Linked DNA regions of Xenopus tropicalis. The protein of the gene in region 1 interacts with the protein of each later gene in a pairwise test. Links are inferred from orthologs where the notes say so. Each region holds a gene or a part of one and is shown on either strand. Other genes may lie near its edges. The genes, in order: gabpb1 and tdrd7.

The links.
Region 2: the proteins of gabpb1 (region 1) and tdrd7 interact in binary tests that used the Homo sapiens proteins (3 or more experiments, as listed by UniProt). The two-hybrid records come from large-scale screens. The link is inferred for Xenopus tropicalis from reciprocal best matches to the Homo sapiens genes GABPB1 and TDRD7.

Annotation. Positions count from the first base shown.
Region 1 is NC_030679.2:104,970,401-104,980,199, forward strand, and holds the end of gabpb1 (GA-binding protein subunit beta-1), read left to right. Parts: intron 1-1,621; coding exon 1,622-1,810; intron 1,811-2,077; coding exon 2,078-2,193; intron 2,194-3,193; exon of another isoform or gene 3,194-3,296; intron 3,297-4,035; coding exon 4,036-4,092; intron 4,093-5,677; coding exon 5,678-5,830; 3' UTR 5,831-6,455; downstream 6,456-9,799.
Region 2 is NC_030677.2:107,343,846-107,353,644, reverse strand, and holds part of tdrd7 (tudor domain-containing protein 7), read right to left. Parts: intron 8,563-9,799; coding exon 8,477-8,562; intron 4,685-8,476; coding exon 4,470-4,684; intron 3,728-4,469; coding exon 3,156-3,727; intron 1,489-3,155; coding exon 1,305-1,488; intron 1-1,304. UniProt on the Homo sapiens protein: Component of specific cytoplasmic RNA granules involved in post-transcriptional regulation of specific genes: probably acts by binding to specific mRNAs and regulating their translation.

The DNA.
Region 1 (9,799 bases):
TTTATAAATAGTTCAGGGTTTGGTCAAGGTGCCTCTTCCTTCATATGATAAAGATATGTGAAAACTTTGTCCTGTTGGTCTTCTGCTATAGCTCCAGAAATATGCAGATGTATTCACTGAAAATTTTATTCCAATTAGCCCACTTTCTTGGCTCCCATTTACTGGTTTTTGACCCTCTGGGGGAAATAAAGGATAGGCAAGTGGCTAGATTGCACTGATGTATTACTCAGCAAAAGTGAAGCATAGGCATTTAGAGTCAACATTGACCCTGTTTTGCCAATCAATTTAGGTGCAGATATTAATGCCAAATCCAACACGTGCAGATGTATTCATGCATTTTGGCCAGAAAATGTGAATAAAAATCTGCTTGTGAGTTCACAATATAATACAGTTTATATGGTAAAAAACGTATCCATATATTTTTGTTTTTAAGGCACTGTGGCACCTAGCTGTAAAATGTCAAAATCAAAGCTTCACGTTTTTGCTTTGACTCTTACATTAGCATATGATTGTGCAGCACAATTTGTACATTATTTCAGTACCATGTGCTTTATCTATGAACTTGGCCACAAATTTCTTTTCTTACTCGGCTAGTGACGTCTGACTAGCAATTTTTTCTCCAGAGGAAGAAAGTGGATTCTGCAATTCAAAATAATGGTATCATTAATTATAGAGATGAAAGCTTGGATGATTGTCAAAATATGTCTGATCTAAAGTCTTGGTCGTGACGCAAAGACTTCTGCTTTACATTTACTGCGTAGATAGAAAGGCTTCCACTTTTATTCACAAAATCTTGAAAAAAAAAATATCAAAGAACAGATCTTATCAACCAGGTTGGAATAACTGGAATGGCTGAAAATTGCAGCTCAAATTGTCTGCTAGCTTTTTGGTATGTTTAATAAAGACTTTTTCATTTTGAAGTCACATTAAATGTACCGCAAGGTATAGCAGCTAATATCTGAAATCATGAATGAGCACACTGAATGTACAGTATATGAAAACTGTGTATGTTACATAGGTAGCATAGTTATACCTTTTTTTAATTTTTAATGTAATGTTTAACTAGCTGTTTTATTATATATTTGCCAATCTTACACATTTTCCTTGGCCTTGTATATTTTGGTTTCAGGTTCAGTTCCAGCCAAATCTGCATGTCTTTCCATATATGTTTCAAAAATATACAGGAAGGTTAATTGGCTCCTGATAAAATTGACCATAATGTGTGTAAAAGTGATACAGGCCATAGATTGGTAGGGACTGATGTGAATGATGTGTCATCTCTGTAAATACTGCAAAATATGTTGGTGCTACATAAATAAAGAGTAATGATAAATCAAATCTGGGATAGGATAGAAAGCCACATTGTTGCCATTTATCCATTTTTGTGAAAGGGCTTTAAAATATTCTAACACAGGTTACTTCCTAATGCAGGGGGTATTTTTTTCCACATCATGCTTTATTTTATGAACCGTGTCTGTATCGGAGCACTGAGAAGGATGAATGAACCAGAGGGCAGTGGATGGTTCTATCTGCAAAGCTATCCTGATATTGTTAGTCTTTAATGTTTTTTTTTTTGGACAATGCTGAAATATCTGGGGTTTTTTTTTTTTTTTGTTTACAGTAGTAGCCACAGAAGAAGTGGTGACTGCGGAGTCAGTAGATGGTGCAATCCAACAAGTTGTTAGCTCAGGAGGCCAGCAAGTCATTACAATAGTCACGGATGGCATTCATCTTGGCAGTCTCCAGTCTGCAATTCCAACCAGTGGCATTGGTCAGCCAATTATTGTAACAATGCCAGATGGCCAGCAAGGTAAGTCATTTATTTACTAAAAAAATGTACATTTCTATAAACTGACAGGATTTTTTGTGTAGTCTTTACAAAGGGATAATGTCCAGTATTTGGACTTTATGCAGTGGAACATTTTTATTCTAACTTTTATTATCTGCTGCTCTGGTTCATCTAGTTTTGTCAATTACTTTTAAAATTTTCCATCATACTTTAATATGTAATTCATTTTCTTACAACATTTTTAAAAGCACTTGCATATGGTAATGAATATATATGTATGTGTTTTAGTACTGACCGTACCGGCAACAGACATTGCTGAAGAAACTGTAATCAGTGAAGAGCCTCCTTCTAAAAGGCAGTGCATTGAGATCATTGAAAATCGTGTTGAATCTGCAGAAATTGAGGTAACTCATTTCTTAATCCAGTCTTCTTTTTAGCCTGTGGCAGTTTCTAAATGAGTGCTCCGCTTTTTAAGTTTGTGTACTAATGAAGAGACTGCAAATGAATATTAATCTCTGATGCGGTGTAGATCATTACTCCCCTTCTGAGAGCTGTACAGATTTATTTCAGAATGTCCTGAGTATTAATGTATACTAGATGAGGGCATTTTGTGAAATTTATCATACTAGGCTAGTATAAATGTAGCATTAACAGATGATTAAACTGTAATATTTGCTTGATCTGTGTAGGGGCAGGATATTCTATTTTACAAGGTTTTATATCCTAGTAATATTTTGAATTTTCAAACAAATGTCTATAAGGAATTTACAGCAAGGGACTAGGACAGTAAATATTGGAAAACAGAGTTTGCCATTGAATAGTAGATTGGGGACAAGTTTGTAAAACCTTTGTAACACCCATTTTCTCCCATCTTCTTTTAACCCCTAATTTCACACTGTTGTCTTCCCACAGTTCTCTTTATCTGCAAATTTATATACAAATAATTGTCTGAATTCTTTCTCCTCTCATGCTATACACATAAGGGAGTAAGGATTTGGATGGTGGTTATTTTCTGATCTGGAACAGTCCCCAAAAACAGAATGGTGATTAACAAAACAGTGTAACACATTCTGCTTAATTGACCCAGGTTTCGGCATTGATAAACATATCAATTAATTCATACTTTCCTGACTGTAAATAAATTGTTTTTGACAGTCAGGAATATTGAGCTAAATCTTAAAATAGATGGAATTGCAGGTAATCTTTCAAAATTCCCCAGTTTGATCTATTCTAGATCAGCTTATATGTCTATCATGTTTGCCCTGTATTAAGCTAATCAAAAAATACCGTTTTAAAGTTTATTGATCCTATTAACTTTTTTTTTTTTTTATAAAGCTCATTATTCCTCTTTATGGCATTGAAAGCTGATAATTTTTAATTTTAATGTTCCTCTTTATTGTGCAGTATGTGGAAGAGAGATACCTAATGAATATACATAATCAATGATTTGCATCATCTGATTTTTCCATTTACATGATGTGATATCAAGTGCCTTCAGCCATCCCAGGTGTGCAGTTCTTCTACATTATCAGCACTTTGGGTGTTCCCTATAATTTTTGCACCACCTCTTTTTATTGGGATGATCTGTCACACCTGTCTTTAGAATTAAATCTCATGTAAGCATTTTGCTGCCAAATAGCAGCTGGAACATAGTGCTTTGCTTAGAGCTGGAGAGTGCTCTAGAATTATAATGTCTACTGCCTTAAACTTAAACTAAACAGTGTCACAGGCTCCCATGGCAGTGGATTTTATACAGCCAACATGGACTGTATAGGTTTCCAATACTGGGATGTGTCAAATCCTAAATATATATTTGAAAAGGCTCATAGTTGCTTGAGTGGACATTTGTCTTAACACCCAGTGCCTTATTGTGGTGGGTTTATTGTGACATGCATCTTTTTTTTATTTTTAATTGCCTCTGGGATATCTGTACTGGTTTCGGTTTTATCTGCTTTTGCTTTATGGAAAATGTACAGTGTTTTTCCTCCAAAAACAAGGAATACACAGCATCACACAGTAGTGTATCCATGCAAAAACAGTTGTCATTCATGCAAAAAGACTTTTTTTGTACCATGTTTGGCAAAATTTTAAGATTAGCATTATGATAAATTCAAGGGTCTAATGCGCTGAACCTCAGAACCATGTAGGACGGCTGCGGTGAGGAGCAATGAGAACATTTATAGATAATGTTGGGATTTTCTCTGTTTTTATGTGGGTTCAATTGTAACTCTTGTTTAATCTGCCAGATTCCAGAAACTTCTGGATCAGAAATCTATATTGTGAATACTCAAGAGTTCTCTCAGGTACAACTACAGAATTTTCAGAAAAAAAAATGTATTTTTATTTTATGTTTCTGAGAGAATCTCCAAAAACCTTTCAAATCTGTGTTTGTGATTATTTTTTTTTCCTCTTCCCATTTGGGTTTTAATCTTTTTTTTTTTCATGTTTCAAAAACACTGAGTTTGTGGCCGTTGTTTTCATGCATGAAGCCTTTTTTTTTTTTTTTTTTTTTTTTAAATTACGGTTTAGAATGTTTTATTTATTTTTATTCATTTCACTGTGTAAGAGACTTGAAGGTTAAATGAAGAAGCCATATGATCATTTTATATGTAGCAGAGATGCGGCAGCATTCAGAAGCCATGAGTGCACGGCATTCTATACTCGCGTCTTGTTGTAGACAACTGTAATTTCCACAAGTGTAGCAGGTCTGCACAATAGTCTTCTGAAATTGCAGCCTTTTGTATTTTCTAGTAGTGCTGTGCATGTTTGCCACACTTACTGGCCCTACATGCCAAGACTTGTTAGAGAACTTTGGCTGACTTTAGCATACTGCCCAACCATCTGGGTGTGTGGCAAATAAGAGAGCAGTTAGATCAATAATCCTGTGGTCTTGGTGGATAAAGGCTTATTGGCTCTGGCATAAACCTTTTGTCAGTTGCCCAAAAGAAAACTCCTTCTTCTACTTCCTGCCAGATTCCTGCTGTTATGATTGTGTAGACGATTGGACAGAACAATATGAAGGTGGTTTTACAAGCGTCCAAACCCATGGGTCAATCAGTCCAAATACCATATGGGTGAAGACACGGAGTGATTAGTCGCCATGACTCTTTTAAAAAGTCACACAGACTAATCAGCATGCTGCGAAGGACATTTGAGTAGTCACCCCGACTTGTATATTAATCTATGGCCGTTAAATTGGCGTGATTAGTTGCCGCTACCATATTTTTTAAAAGTCGCGGTGACTAATCGCCTTGTGTGTCTTCGCCTCATAGGTTGGCCCATGTATTGCCATCCTTTTAAAGAGATTCCAACTCTCCACAGTGGGAAATGTAGAAAATTCCACTTTTTCACTGCTGAGAAAAATTACTGCTGCTAAATAACATACCTGTTAGCATTAGCTTTATATGGATGCTTCTCCTTGTACTTTTTCCCTCAATTTTTTTCTAGTATCTTTTGAAATAAGTATTTTACCTTACTTTAATATTTATAGGTGTGGGCTTTTTAAACCCAGGGTTTGTGCTATTTCATGCTAAAGTGCAAAGATAAAATGGATTGCCTCAGTTGCTTGATAGTACTTTGTTAAGGGCAAGACCCAAGGTGTCCACCCTTACTGATACTGACTTTTATTATATATAAGTGTTTATAGGATATCTGGAGATACGGGCAGACTAAAATATGGAAGCTGGGTAGGCTCACTTCAAAGTTGCTAGCCATTTAGGTTGGCATATGGTGTGACCCTAAGCTCCGGGACCAGCACAGTTTTAAAGACCAGACAATCAAAGTCATACTGCATGCTTTTAAGTCTGTTTGACTATTTCCATATCATTTTACTCAGGGACTACATAGGGCAACTAATGCAGGATACCTATATTTTACTTTTGTGTACAGGAAAGAGAAACACTTCAGAAGCAACTTGATGAGGCCAACCGTGAAGCCCAGAAGTACCGGCAGCAGCTTCTAAAGAAGGAACAAGAGGCAGAAGCCTACAGACAGAAGCTAGAAGCTATGACCAGATTGCAGACTAACAAAGAAGTTGTTTAAGTAGCTAGCCAGCACGGACTCACTTGTTTTCATTGGAGAAGAAGACTCAAGCTATGCACTGTATGGCTTCAGTTGGTAATAGAAGCGATCCCCTGAGCAAACCTCAGACTTTTATATGTCCCTGAATTATACAAATGCTGGTGTTACAATAGTCACTCTTTGTGAGAAGTATTTAAAATGGAAATACTGTATATAGTCTGGATATTTCCCCCCCCCCCCCCTATTTTTTTCTTACAGTTGGCAGTTAAGTTGATGCTGATTTTCTGAAAGACGCAGAAATAACATTCTGGGTGACTTTTTTTCCAATCGGTTTTTAGTAGAGATTAATTTGACATGTGAAATGCACCAATTGCCAAAGATGTTTTGGTAAACCACGTGCGACCGTTTCTCAAACTGCAATGCTTTCTCCAATCAGATCAACAGCCTTTGAAGTTAACGTTTCCTAGTGGAAATCTCTGTACAGCTTTTCAATTTGTGTCTCTGTTTGAAAACTTTTTTTTTTTTAATTTCACTTTTTTTTTTTCAAGTAAGCAAAAAAATTTTTATATCTTGTTTAACTTCCAGAACATCCAGGTAGATTAACTTGTATATGAAGCTAATATTTTTTAAAGAAAAAGAGAGAGAACTTTTGTACATATGCTGCATGTTTTTGTATATTCTAACTGCATACGTCAGCCTTGGTTATCCTTCAGTGACACAGAACGTACACACACACATACACACATTGAATGTTGCCCAGTAGTGCAGTTTTTTTCTCATGTCACATCCTTCCAGTTTCAGAACTGATAAAGTGACAATATAATTTTACAAACTCCCGCTGAGTGTGTCTGTCAATCATGAACATTAACCTTTTGGTTACTCCTATATCCAGGCTTGGTAACCGCATGAAATAAGAGGTGGTGCATCTGTTCTGAGCATACATTTAAAATCAAACTTGACACCCAGATAATGGAAGTTTTGCATAATGAAGGAAGCTGTTGTACTAAGCAACTTCCCAATATAGATGAATTTAAGAGTTAGGAATTTAAAAGGGATTTGTGAATAAAATTGCTACTTAAAGCAGTGCATGTCCATTGCTATTCCCCACCCTGCTGCTTCTGACTACATGAAGGTCTAAAAAATGTAGCTAGAGTTATTTCTCCTCCAGCCAAGACTCTAGTTCTACAATTCCTTACATTCTGAATGGCCTATTCTTAGCAACTCTTTCCAGCTTTCAAATGGTGGCCACTGTCCCAGCAGCCAAAATCTATTACTCTATGAAGTTATACTTTTATTGTCATTGTTACTTTTTATTCCTTGTGTTTCAATTTAGGCCCTCCTCTGTTCATATTCCTGTCACTTTTTCAAACCGCTGCCTGGTTTCTAGGCTCAGTTGGACCCTGACAACAAGACAACTGCTGAAATCCCAAACTAGTGAGCTGCTGGGGGGAAAAAGTAAAATAATTAGTAAAAAAACAAACAAACCACAAATAAAAAATGAAGACCAATTGCAAATTGTCTCAGAATAGATCATACTAAAAGTTAATTTAAAGGTGAACTACCACTTTAACCGCAGAACACTGTGGAAATTGGAGTCTTGCTACATTGTTTTGGTAAAGCCTGTAGTCAGAACCAGCACTGCAGAGAATAGCAAGGGACAGAAGGATTCTGCTTTCTATAGCAATTGCATTTACTTCTGACTTAAAAACACTGTCAACTTTCAGTAAATGACCACTGGAAAGTTGCTTCAAGTGACTTAAGTTTTCATTAGGCAATATATAATTGTTTCCATTTATAATGCAGTTCCCTTCAAAGAGAGTGTATTTGCTCTGTATCGTAGGAAGACCTCACAAACGACAACAGTTCTGTTACTGGCACAGAGCTGAAACTATGCATTCAGAATTGTTACATTTCATTTAAACCCCATTATGCAACAAATTACTTTATCTCCCTTTTACTTTTCAGTTTTGTTTTTCTTTGATTTATGAAAATAATGTGATGAAGTAAAGAAAATATTACACTATTTGGATAAAATTGTGTTTTGCACTTGAGAGTTTAATGTTTAAAACACAAATTGGAGGTTAAAGATGGATTCTTCCTGTACAGAAGGGTAAAGAAGCCCATGCCTGAGAAACAGAGCCTACTCGCTCTTCAGCAGACTGTAAGCTGTGCTGGCATTTCAGTCGATTTAAACTCTCATGATATGACCAAATATTTATATAAAAATCTAAAATAAAGCGCGTCCTCAGGAACTCCAGAGATGTGCCACTGTTTTACTGAAAATCACAGTAAATGACTTGTTTTATATTGTACTGGAATAAGCTTTTATATTTTGTTAAAGCAGTTGTCTCTGTGTATAATGAGAAATACCTTGAGTAAAAGGGAGTTTACAGTCTTAAATCTATGTGCCTTTACCCTTTCTTATAAATTAAGGTATGTGCCTTTGTCTGTTCCATGCTTTCTTACTTTTCACTTTATTTTCTGGATCACATTTATAAACGAGTCACTGTATATAAAGGGAATTCAGGAAGTCTGCCATTGGCTTATAGCAGGATTCTCAAACCTGTGACTTACCGCCATCATAATTCACTGCAACTCCATACGACAGGTAGGAGACCTGTTAACCAGAGCGCTCAGGACCTGTGGTTTTCCTGATAAGGGATTTTTCTGTAATTTGGATCACCATACCTTAAGTCTACAAAAAATAATTTAAACATTAAATAAGCCCAATAGGATTGTTCTGCAACCAATAAGGATTAATTATATCTTAGTAGGGATCAAGTAAAAGTAACTGTTGTATTATTAGGGAGAAAAAGGAAATAATTTTGAGTCTAAAGGTCGCCACACACGTAGTCGCACGAAAGATCGCTCCCACTCTCCACATACATTCAGGGCTGAATCATCAGATATGGAGGTAGAAACAATAGGAATTCTACCTCCTTCTGCCGATTCAGCCCTGAAGGTAGATTTTGCTCAGGCGCCTTCAATGGTGCCCGATCAAAATCTTTTAACCTGCCTGATCGGCGAGTCAACCAATAGCCACAGCCTTTTGCGATGTCAGTCGCCTCGCCGAGTCAGCATACATGCACAGAATATCATATGAAACGAGGTTTCGTACGATGATATTGTATGGACAGCTTAAGAGATGCCCTTCGTATAAACTTTTTTGGATAATGGGTTTCTGGATAACGGGTCCCATACCTATATTTTTTTAGTGAGTTATTTGCCCACCACCTCCCTGGGCCCCATAAGTGGTGAACCCTGTTAACTAGAAAGAACAGCCCCAAAGGCCAAAAAAAAAAAAAAGGCTAACTAAAGTATCTGTCCTATCATGCCCAAATCTGCAATCTCTGCCTTGACTGGACTTTCCCCTGACAGTTTAATCTAGGGTGACCAGATCACTTCAGGGACACGTCAAGAAATCAAGGTAGAAGGGCTGCACTTATTGCAGTTAAATGTAAAAGCAATCCATGCCCCGAGTTCTGCAAAAGGCATTTATTGGACATGTCCCTTAATTCTCAAGTGATCTGGTCACCCTAGTTTAATCCTAGTACAGATATAGGATCTGTTTTCTGGAAACCTGTTCATCACCCTTAGACTCCAATATAAGCAAATAATTCTAATTTTTAAAAATGTTTTCCTTCTCTCTAATAATAAAACAGTACCTTGTACTTGATCCCAACTAAGATATAATTAATCCTTAGTGGCTAAACAAACCTACTGGGTTTAATTAATGCTTAAATGATTTTTTTAGTAGACTTAAGGCACAGAGGTCCAAATAACAGAAAGATCCATTATTTGGAAAGTCCCAGGTCCTGAGCATTCTGGATAATAGGTTCCCATTCCTGTACCTCAAGGACAGTAAGATGTGTTTTTCATGTGACAGTTGTAGGGTCACAACATATTTAGGAAGGTGCCTATGTTTACAGGAATTTTCCCAGTGATTTAATTTAGACAACAAAGTTGTCATGACAAAGTGAGAAGCAGATT
Region 2 (9,799 bases), on another chromosome or scaffold:
TTTTTGTGTTTACATCTCCTTTATTGCAGAAATCCAGGCAATATCAAAATTGTTTACTGAATATATTGTCCTTAAATTCGGGAATCAATACTTCTATCAATGGAAAAAAAAGGCTACTAAGACTTAAGTATACCTTTCGACAATTTGCCTGTGCCATTAGTAAGCACTGTCCTTTCCATTAATATTCTCCAAGGAAATCTATTTTTATATTCAATTCTAAAGAACTCTGAAGTTCTTTACAACTTTCAAAACCAAACCAAAACCAGGAAATTTAGTATTGTCCACATGTGGACATGTGAACTTTCATCAGCTAAGGGCTAAGGCACATAAAGACTCTGATTAGCAATCAATATTTGATAGATCACTTCGTATTTACAGGTATGGGACTTGTTATACAGAATGCTCGGGACCTGTCATTTACTGCATAAGGGATCTTTCTGCAATTTGGATCTCTATAACTTTAAGAATAAGTAAACCTTTTTTTTTCTTATCAGTAAAATTACTCTAAATGGCCTCCAGAATTACCTACCTTTGTCCCAGCATTCTCTCTGACCTGGTTCCTCAGTTAGAAGTTAATCATTTTTCTTTGCTTCCTTGTGCAGAGTGAAGCCCTGCCCCCACTTCCTGTTCAGTTCTCTCTTCAATTCGACTACCTTTAGTAGACCTGGAGAGCCTTCTGGGCATGCCTGGAGGCAGCAGCAGCCAGTCTGTGCATTATCAGGGTTTTTTTTTTATGAGAGACCTGAACAGGAAGTGGGGGCGGGGCTTCACTCTGCACAAGGAAGCAAAGAAAAACAATTAACTTCTAACTGAGGAATCAGGTCAGAGAGAATGCTGGGACAAAGGTAGGTAATTCTGGAGACTGTTTAGAGTAATTTTACCGATAGAAAAAAAAAAAAAAAAAGAAGGTTTACTTATTCTTTAAGTCTACTAAAAATCATTTCAATATTGAATAAACTCAATAGGCTTGTTTTGCCTCCATTAAGGATTAATTATATCTTAGTTGGTATTATTACAGAGAAAAAGGAAATTTTTAAAAATCAAAATTATTTGCTTATAATGGAGTTTATGTAATATGGCCTTTCCATAATTCGGAATTTTCTGGATTTCACAAAAGAAATTGCTTGCCAGTGTATCATAAACATCTTCATACTTGTGTGGATGAAACTGTAGTTTAAAATGTCCTGGCTTTAATGCAAACTCCACACAAGCACTATTCTCTATTGTAATTCTATACATTTAAAAAAAAATAAAATAAAATGATGAAAGAGGAATTGGATATTTATAAAAGAAAAACTATAAACCTTGACTTTTTTGCCTTCAATTGCAGATATCTGTGCTCGCAGCCAAACATCTTCCTCTGCTTTTGCAGCCACCAGCTGACCAACCCTTAAAAAGCCAATCTTTGCAGTAGAACTTTTGCTGCAGAAGTCCTTCATTTCATCTTCCATGTGTTCCTGAGCAGCAGAATAGTCACGGCCAATATACCTAAGACATAAATATTGTTACACAAAGGTTAATAAGAAAATGTCAGTTTCTAATGGAAAGAATCTTTTTATCGATAAGCTTAAATTTAATTCATTATAGATTTAAACAGATGAGGAGAGAATAACTGTGAAATGCCTCTATTACCCATCCCTAAAGAAGTTAAAACCATCCCTAAAGAAATCGCTTGACTTGTTAAGAATCAACCATATTAATTAAAATATATATATTGCTTAATTTTTTAAACTTGTATGGAAAAATAAAAAATAAGCTATAAATGGAATCATTAGGAAGCATGTCTTTAATTATTTTATGTTATTTCTAAAATTAAGTGCCATGTAGTAAGAGACACAGACAGATGGAGGTCCCTGCCCCCTAGAGTTAACAGTCTAAGTCTAAGCAGTTGGATAACAAACAAACATAAATAAGAGGTTTGGGCATTGGCCCTTAAATGGAACCTGTCACCCAAAGAAATAATTCCAAATTCTTTTCTATCGTGCTAGTTAAACAACATGAACTTTATTTACTTTATATACATTTTATAAATCTTGTTTACTTCAGTTTGGAATTCACAATGACAGCCAGCAGACAGGCACTATTTTGTGGAAGTTTTGTATTACTTCAAAATCTTGGTTAAGAGCTTAATTAATGGGGGACCTAATGCCCATGCCACACTATTGTAGACCGTGAGGAGGGAAAGGGAATGTGAGGAGGGCAACAACATCTAGGTACTGAATGGAAAGTGAAAGTGATTGACTGTTCCACTTCTATACCTAGAGGCAGACAGGCAATATATGATTGGCAGCTCAGATTTTTAAATAACTTTATAACCGGTATGAATGTTTTAATTACAAAAAAAAAAAAAGTTTAATGTTTACTTTGCAAAGGACTTTTATTATCCAGCGTTTGATTCCTGGGTGACAGGTCCCCTTGACTGTCCATAAAATGTGTTAGTGCTCCCAACAAATAGGATCATTGTTTTTTTTCTTAAGAGATTGAGAGAGTGTTCTCTACAGAGAGAGAGATGGTGGGTACGAATGCTGTGAAAAGATTGGGATTAGTTTTGCCTCAATTTCCATTATTTTCTAGCTACAACCATCCCTATCAGTTCCCATTGCTTTCTGTAGCATTATAAAAGTCTAAACAAGATGTCAGTGGCAGTGTATACAGAAATTCAGTCAAATTGGGGTGACATTGATGAAGTTGCCTGCCCATGGTCCTCCCGCTTGACTTCATTTCCAACTAGCACATAATGTTGGATAATGAGAATAGCACACATAAAAATTAAAGACCTAGTAAAAAAAAAAAATCTAGAAGAGTTCAATTTAATTAATGCATTTTTAACCAATTTGGAGCAACGTGGAAATGGTTATCTGGGGCCTTGGGTAAGTTATCATCTTGAATGTGATTAATTAAAATGGCGACCTGGAAGGCACAGAGGTTGGCAGCTCAGCAGTGAATGAGTGAGCAGAGGAGAGCATGGCAAATGTTCTGTGTCTGTCTTTTTTTTATATATATTATATATATATATATATATATATATATATATATATATATATATATATATATATATATTTTTTTTTTTTTTTTTTTTTTAAATAAACAGATTTGGTCAAGGACTCCGACTGTAGGGATATACACTTAAAATCACAAAATAGGCCTTCACTCACCTTATAACCACATCATTAGTACTGCTTAGTTCCACAACGAGCACAGAGGGAGAAGCCTCAGAAGGTATGACCAAAGGGGGTGGAGTCATATTCATCTCTGGTTCTTCCGGCAACAAGGGTGACTCTCGATCTTGGAGTTTTTGTGGGATATTATTGTTGACCGAGGGATTACTATTTTGGTTTGCCCTTTCAGCTGATTTAGCATAAAGGATAGCTTTAAATGGCTCTTCAGAAATAAGGTCAACTGTGCAAATATCAGTAAGGGAATCCAAATTTAAAACTTCAGTTGGCAATTTCTGCTTAAACATGTCCTCAAAGACTTTGGGTAAAGCGTGATACCAAAGTCCATTGCTATACTTAGTCAATACTTTTGAAATTTTCTGTTTAAGTTCATCTTTGGGGATATTGCCTGAACTTTGCAGAGGAGGTGATGACGGGGTTGAATCAACAGGCACATTTGGCTTAGCTTGGTTGTTACTGTGATTTTGAACATTCTTTGTAAAGGAGGGTTGCTTTATTGCAGTTGAATAAAGAACCATTTCTGTATGGCCCATGGTTACGAGTTTCTGAACCTGAAATAAATAAATATTTTTGAAAAACATTAATCAAGGTTATTTTTAAAAAGGGATTTAGATAAAATCATGCATGTTAACTACACACACAGGACAGTTTATCACCCACAGGAAACAGCCTTCTTCTAGTGCCCTAAATCCTTCAGTGTTGGAACCCACACATGCAAAACACTTTACATATGGCAATCCCATTTTATCACTTGAAAATTAGTGCTTCTGCATTTTTAGTCAACATGGTGCCCTATGTGTCATTGCCCCAACAGTGATTATGAAATCTAAATACAGGACTTTGCCTACATAAAGTTTCTTAAAGGGGACCTGTCACCCAGGCATAAAAAGCTGTATAAAGTCTGTTTCAAATTAAACATGAAAACCAAATTTTTTTATTAACACATACAAACACATTATAAAGGCATTTAAAAATCCCAGCTGTCCATGATATATTGCCTGCCCCGCCACTATGCCTCAGGCGCAACTTTAAGTTTCCATTCAGCACTACCTAGATGTCACTGCAATTCTCAACTGCCTGCTTGTTATAATAGTCTAACTCCAAGACTAAAGGAAACAAGATTTATAAACATTATATAGTGTAAGTGAAGTTTGTTTTGCTTAATTAACATGGTAGAAATAAATTTGGAATTTTTTTTGAGGTGACAGGTCCCCTTTAAAATGCACCTCATTAAAAATTTTACTAATAATTTAATAAAACAGAATTAACTAAGAAAAAAATCAAAAGTTATACCATGCATATGTGTGTCCAACTTGGAACCTGTTTCAACATTTCACCACCCAAATCCTGTTTGTAGGTCTCCTTGTACAACTGAGGCAACTTCGACAGCCATAAACCATTACTGTGCTTGTTCAGAAGCTCTTTCAGGTTATTTTGGATCACAGAGAGGTCACAGCGAGGTTGACCACTGCCAGGAACAACACTTTTCAAACTTTGTGTATGATTGGCTAAAACAAAAGGAACAACATTAAAATACAATATTAAAAAAAAAAAAAAAGAAAAACAAAAAGGACCAGCATCTAACACAGGTATATGTTCCATTATCTAGAAGACTTTGAACTTAAAGGAAAGATACCCTGATACACTGATAAAGATACACTGCAGGTCTCTATAAAATATATATATTATATACATTTTAGTATGCGCTGCTGGTTAAAGGAAATGTAACAGAACATTTTTTAAGTAAAAAAGCTATTTTACCCTGCACCAATAACTGCCCTATCCTGCAAACCACTTAGTATTTCAAATGCTTTAATAGAAAATACCTGCTAAAACTTTGGCGATAAGGCAAAGGAAGGAGCTGCATCCACTATGCGACAATCAATTGATCGCGCCTAGCCTGACTCCTTCCTATACAATTAAGAAGGCTAGGCTCACTCAATCGATCGTCGCATAGTGGTTGCTGCTCCTTCCTTCGCCATATCGCCGTAGTTCAATTGACAGGAAGCCAAGTTTTAGCAGGTATTTTCTATTAAAGCATTTAAAATACTAAGTGGTTTGCATGATAGACAGGCGCTGCGGAATATGTTGGCGCTTTATAAATACATGTTAATAATAATAATAGGGCAGTTATTGGTGCAGGGTAGAATAGCTTTTTTACTTAAAAAATTTTAGTGTTACTTTTCCTTTAATCCTAAACAGAAAACTGCCATTTTAAGTACTACGTGCCTCGCCCCTAGCTCATAAGATTCACCGTGCTCGCACATAAACAAAGGGTACGCATATATTCTGGGTTACCTCAGCTAACTAATGAAGATGCTGTTTTTTATTCGCACATTTCTTCCTGTTACAGTTAGAGCTGCATTATTTCCTGTCAAATGATCTCTGAAGGAGTACACGAACCATGACAAAATGATAGGTCATAGTAAAAGATGTAAAATGGCAGAATTTACCGATATATATACTCCAGTTTGGTAAGAATCTTTAATAGTTTTCTTATTAAAATATGAATTATCTGTTAAGTACTTGTTCTAAAAGGTACAGTTTCCTTTTTGCTTCATCATTGTTTTTCAACCCCTTGAATCACAGTTGCTCTGTACTAATGAAAAATGGTCTCCAACCAATCCTTGCAGGACTCAAATTTGAATGGGCAGATAGGTCTAATACATAAGTGGGGGCTATCTCATTTTACCTAGGATATGTATTACAGAATTTGGCTTGGAGTTATTTTGAAGGATCTTTCTCTAAATGCAGCTTTGAGTCAGTTATTTTAAGGTTGAAGACACACAGAGCTACTAGTAGCAGCTACATGTCACAGCTGCAAAAATTGACAATGCTGATTTTTTTTTTTTTACCGATAATTGTCTCTGTGTTTTAGCAGAGGCAATTCTTAGTACTGTCTATGGAAAGTTATTTTCTGGGGTTTAGTAGCCATGACAAGTAGCTGCTACTATGTAGCTCTGTGTGTCGTTGCCCTAAAAGGAGTTCACTTTAATATAACTTATAGGCAAAGGGAACATTCCCAGTTAAAACTAACTGTCCTGACATGAAATATTATTTCCACAAAAGCTCTACCTTTAAGAATGTTTTACAAAGATCGGTACAGCTACTTTCTAGAGATCTTTATATTTTTGTTGCAGGTTATGCAAATAAGTATACATATAAACAAGGGATGGACTAGTTGCAGGATGGGTTTCCAGACTGAACCAAATCCCAAGATACTTAAAACCAAACCAAAAACTTAAATAGCCAAACCAAATCAGAAATCTTGAAGAGGATGGACCCATCTAAGCAATGTTTCAATGGGTCTTTATTCTTTATGTTTTTCAAAATTATCAGACTGTCTATCTGCAACTGATAATGCTTGACTAAATGAGGCTATGCATGCAATGAATTGGATAGGCCACCTTGGTTAGGGAGGAAAGGATGGAGATTTAAATAAAACATGCTCTTACAGGGAAATAGTCCCTGGCATTTCAAGGTACAATGGTAAAAACTGTCTACAGCATTTGCCGTAGTTTACAGATTCTGGGTCTGTGTTACAGGCTGTCTGTTCAGACTAAAATGTTATCTCCCAATGCATCATATCAGGGGCTTCTGCTCTGATAAAGAGTTATCAGATGTTTCTCTAGTATTAAAGGGGTATTTCATCTTCAAATTAATTTTTAGCATGATGCAGGCAGTGACATTTTTAGACAATTTGCAATTGGTCTTCATTTTAATTTTTTTGTGGTTTTTAATTGATTTAGCTTTTTGTTCAGGAGCTCTCCAGTGTGCAATGTCAGTGGCTACATGGTTGTTAGAGTTCAACTAGGCACTGGTTTAAGTGAAAAAATGGTTCATGAAAAAAAGAGGGACTGAATAGGAGTATAAGTAATACATAGTGACAACAAAATTAAAACTGCAAACTCACAGATCAATAGTTGTTTGGTTCTCTTTGCAGGAAAGAGGCAGAAGAGGAAGGCGCGGGAGGGGGGAGCTGGAGGGAGCCGCAGGGGAACAGGAGGAAGTTGCTGGGGGAGGGGAGCCACAGGGGGGGGGGAAGCTGGAGGGAGCTGCAGGGGAACTGGAGGAAGTCGCTGGGGGGGAGGGAGCCGCAGGGAGGGGAGCCTGGCAGCGCACAACAAGCTCGTTCCATCTTCGAATCCATATTGCTTCATGGTGGATGCCAGGACCTGGCAAATGGAAGTATTGGCATTCTTCCTTAATCAAATTATTGGTTGCTCTTTTGGTGCTTTGGTAGTCCGTGGGTAACCTGTGCAGAGACGGATACCCAATCAGTCATTTATGTAGAATAAGCTGTCCTCTTTGGTGGCAGCTTTTCTGTTCTCCATACTGTTCCAGGCCCAGCCAAGTTCTTCTATAGAAGAAATCTGATACCATCCTCACTCTTGGCCTTCAGCCACCCTCTTGTCCTTCTTGGCTTTTCCTGTCTGTTTTTTTACATTTGATATGAGCTTTGGTAGGCTGTGCTGCAAACCAGGTCCTTACCCTTGTACTAAAACAGATATACGTGTCCTTGTTTCTTTGCAATGGATGCTTGTGTTGTATCTAGTAAACAGGATCCATGCATCACATAAAATTGGTTGCATTCTTGGGTGCTGGTTGTAGTTTCAAAATATATGTGGCTGCATTTCCCACCCTAGGAAATTTGAATATATAAACGCTCAGCCTTACTGTTCACACGGCACGATGCATGTGTGTGCTGTGGTTTGAATAAAGGCTGAAGCAGTTCATCTGCGTGAAGGTGCTTTCCTCTTTTTCTGTGATTTCCCACTCTAGGCTTATACTCGAGTCAATACGTTTTTCCAGTTTTCTTAGGTAAAATTAGGTACCTCGGCTTATATTCGGATCGGCTTATACTCGAGTATATACAGTAATTTAAAAACTATACAAAAATAAAGACTACTTGATAAGCTTCTAAAAATATTAAATTCTATAACATAGCAAGAGTTCGCTGAAAGGTGAACTAACCCTTTAAGCAAAGCAACATCACACACCTATCTTTTTTCAGAGCTAATGTATTTTTCCTATCTGTAGACACATTTGGCCAATGTGAACATCAGGTGGCGTTGCTAGAAAATTGAGTATATTTTTGTATTGTCTAAAATATCGGATGTCTTGGACACAAAAAAAAAATGAATTAGTTTTTAGTGTTTACATATACTTTAAAAATAATTCCATAAAAAAATAGATGAATGCTTTGAAATTCATGTGAATGTGCTAAATGACAGTGTGAGCTTTGTTCATCATTTAAGATCAAACAAACAAAAAAAATGTATTATTTGCAGTATACATACCATTTGAATCTGTCATAGGAGTGGGATTCAAGAATGAGTTAACCTCCCTCTGAAATCGTGGTGGAAGTGTTACTTTTCTCTCAGGCCTAGTAAAGACAAGAGATACAGATGAACCTATCAAGACAGTCAATTAAATATTTGATTCTAAATATTTTACAAAAATATCAAGATCAAAATCACTGAAAAATCTAAATTTTGAAACTCAACCAGATAATTAAAATGTATTTTTGTCATCTTCCATAAAATAGATTTTGAAGAGATCAAAAAGCTGATTAAAACAAGAGATATGACATTTTTAGAGATGCTTCATTAGAAGGTAATTCAGTAACAGACTATATTACACATCAGACTTTAGTATTGTTGTATTGCAGACTAATAGATAAAGTTAGATGTTCACTAATATGTGGAAGCATACAGTATTACAAGTTAAAATGAACACAGGGAAGCACAACTACTACTCTGTGGTTGCGTAGGAAGTCTGGTTGCTATAAAACTCAGAGCATCTAAAACAAAGACAGAATTCTGAACAATCCATCTTGGGTTTTTTTTTTAATCCTGACTTCCGCTTAAATAAATTATTAATTCATGATCATCTTTGGTCAATCAATACATTTTACTTTCTTTTTCAAATGTTAGCCCCCACGCACATGACTTTTGTACAACACTGTAACATGCCTTAATAGGGACAGCCCAGTCCGATTTTAAAAGTGCCTGTCAAGATTTTTTACTCTGGAAATCCAGACAGGAATCTGTGCTGAATGACACGACGGACAACCAATCACCACGTCATAGCCCCATCTCTTGACATCATGTGTCGACCCATAAAAGTCATTGTCCCTTCCCAATGTCTTGCAATATGCTTGACATGAATAGAGAGTACCACTTTCCCTGATATTTGACTGTACACTAATTTATGATTAGTGTACCTACAGTTTATGCTTGGTTTTACATGAAAACTGTTGTTCTCTGTAATGAGACCATTATTATAGCAAGAAAGACTAATCTCATGTTGATGACAAAACAACCACATTGTTTTTTTTAACTTTAGATTTTGTATTCTGGATAACAGATCCCATACCTGTATATAAAACTTTATAATAAAAAAACAACACTTCATATGCTTTATCAAGCTGAAATTTGCTTTTAATTTGCTAGATTAGATTTTGATATGCCTATGCAAAACATAAAATAGATATAAAAAATATTTTTAGATGTCATACATTCTCAACTAGCATCCTTAGGTGCTCTCTAAGAGGAAGGGTTGCCAGGTCACTTAAAAATTCAGGAATACATATAGAAAATTGAGCTAGATGGGCTGCACTG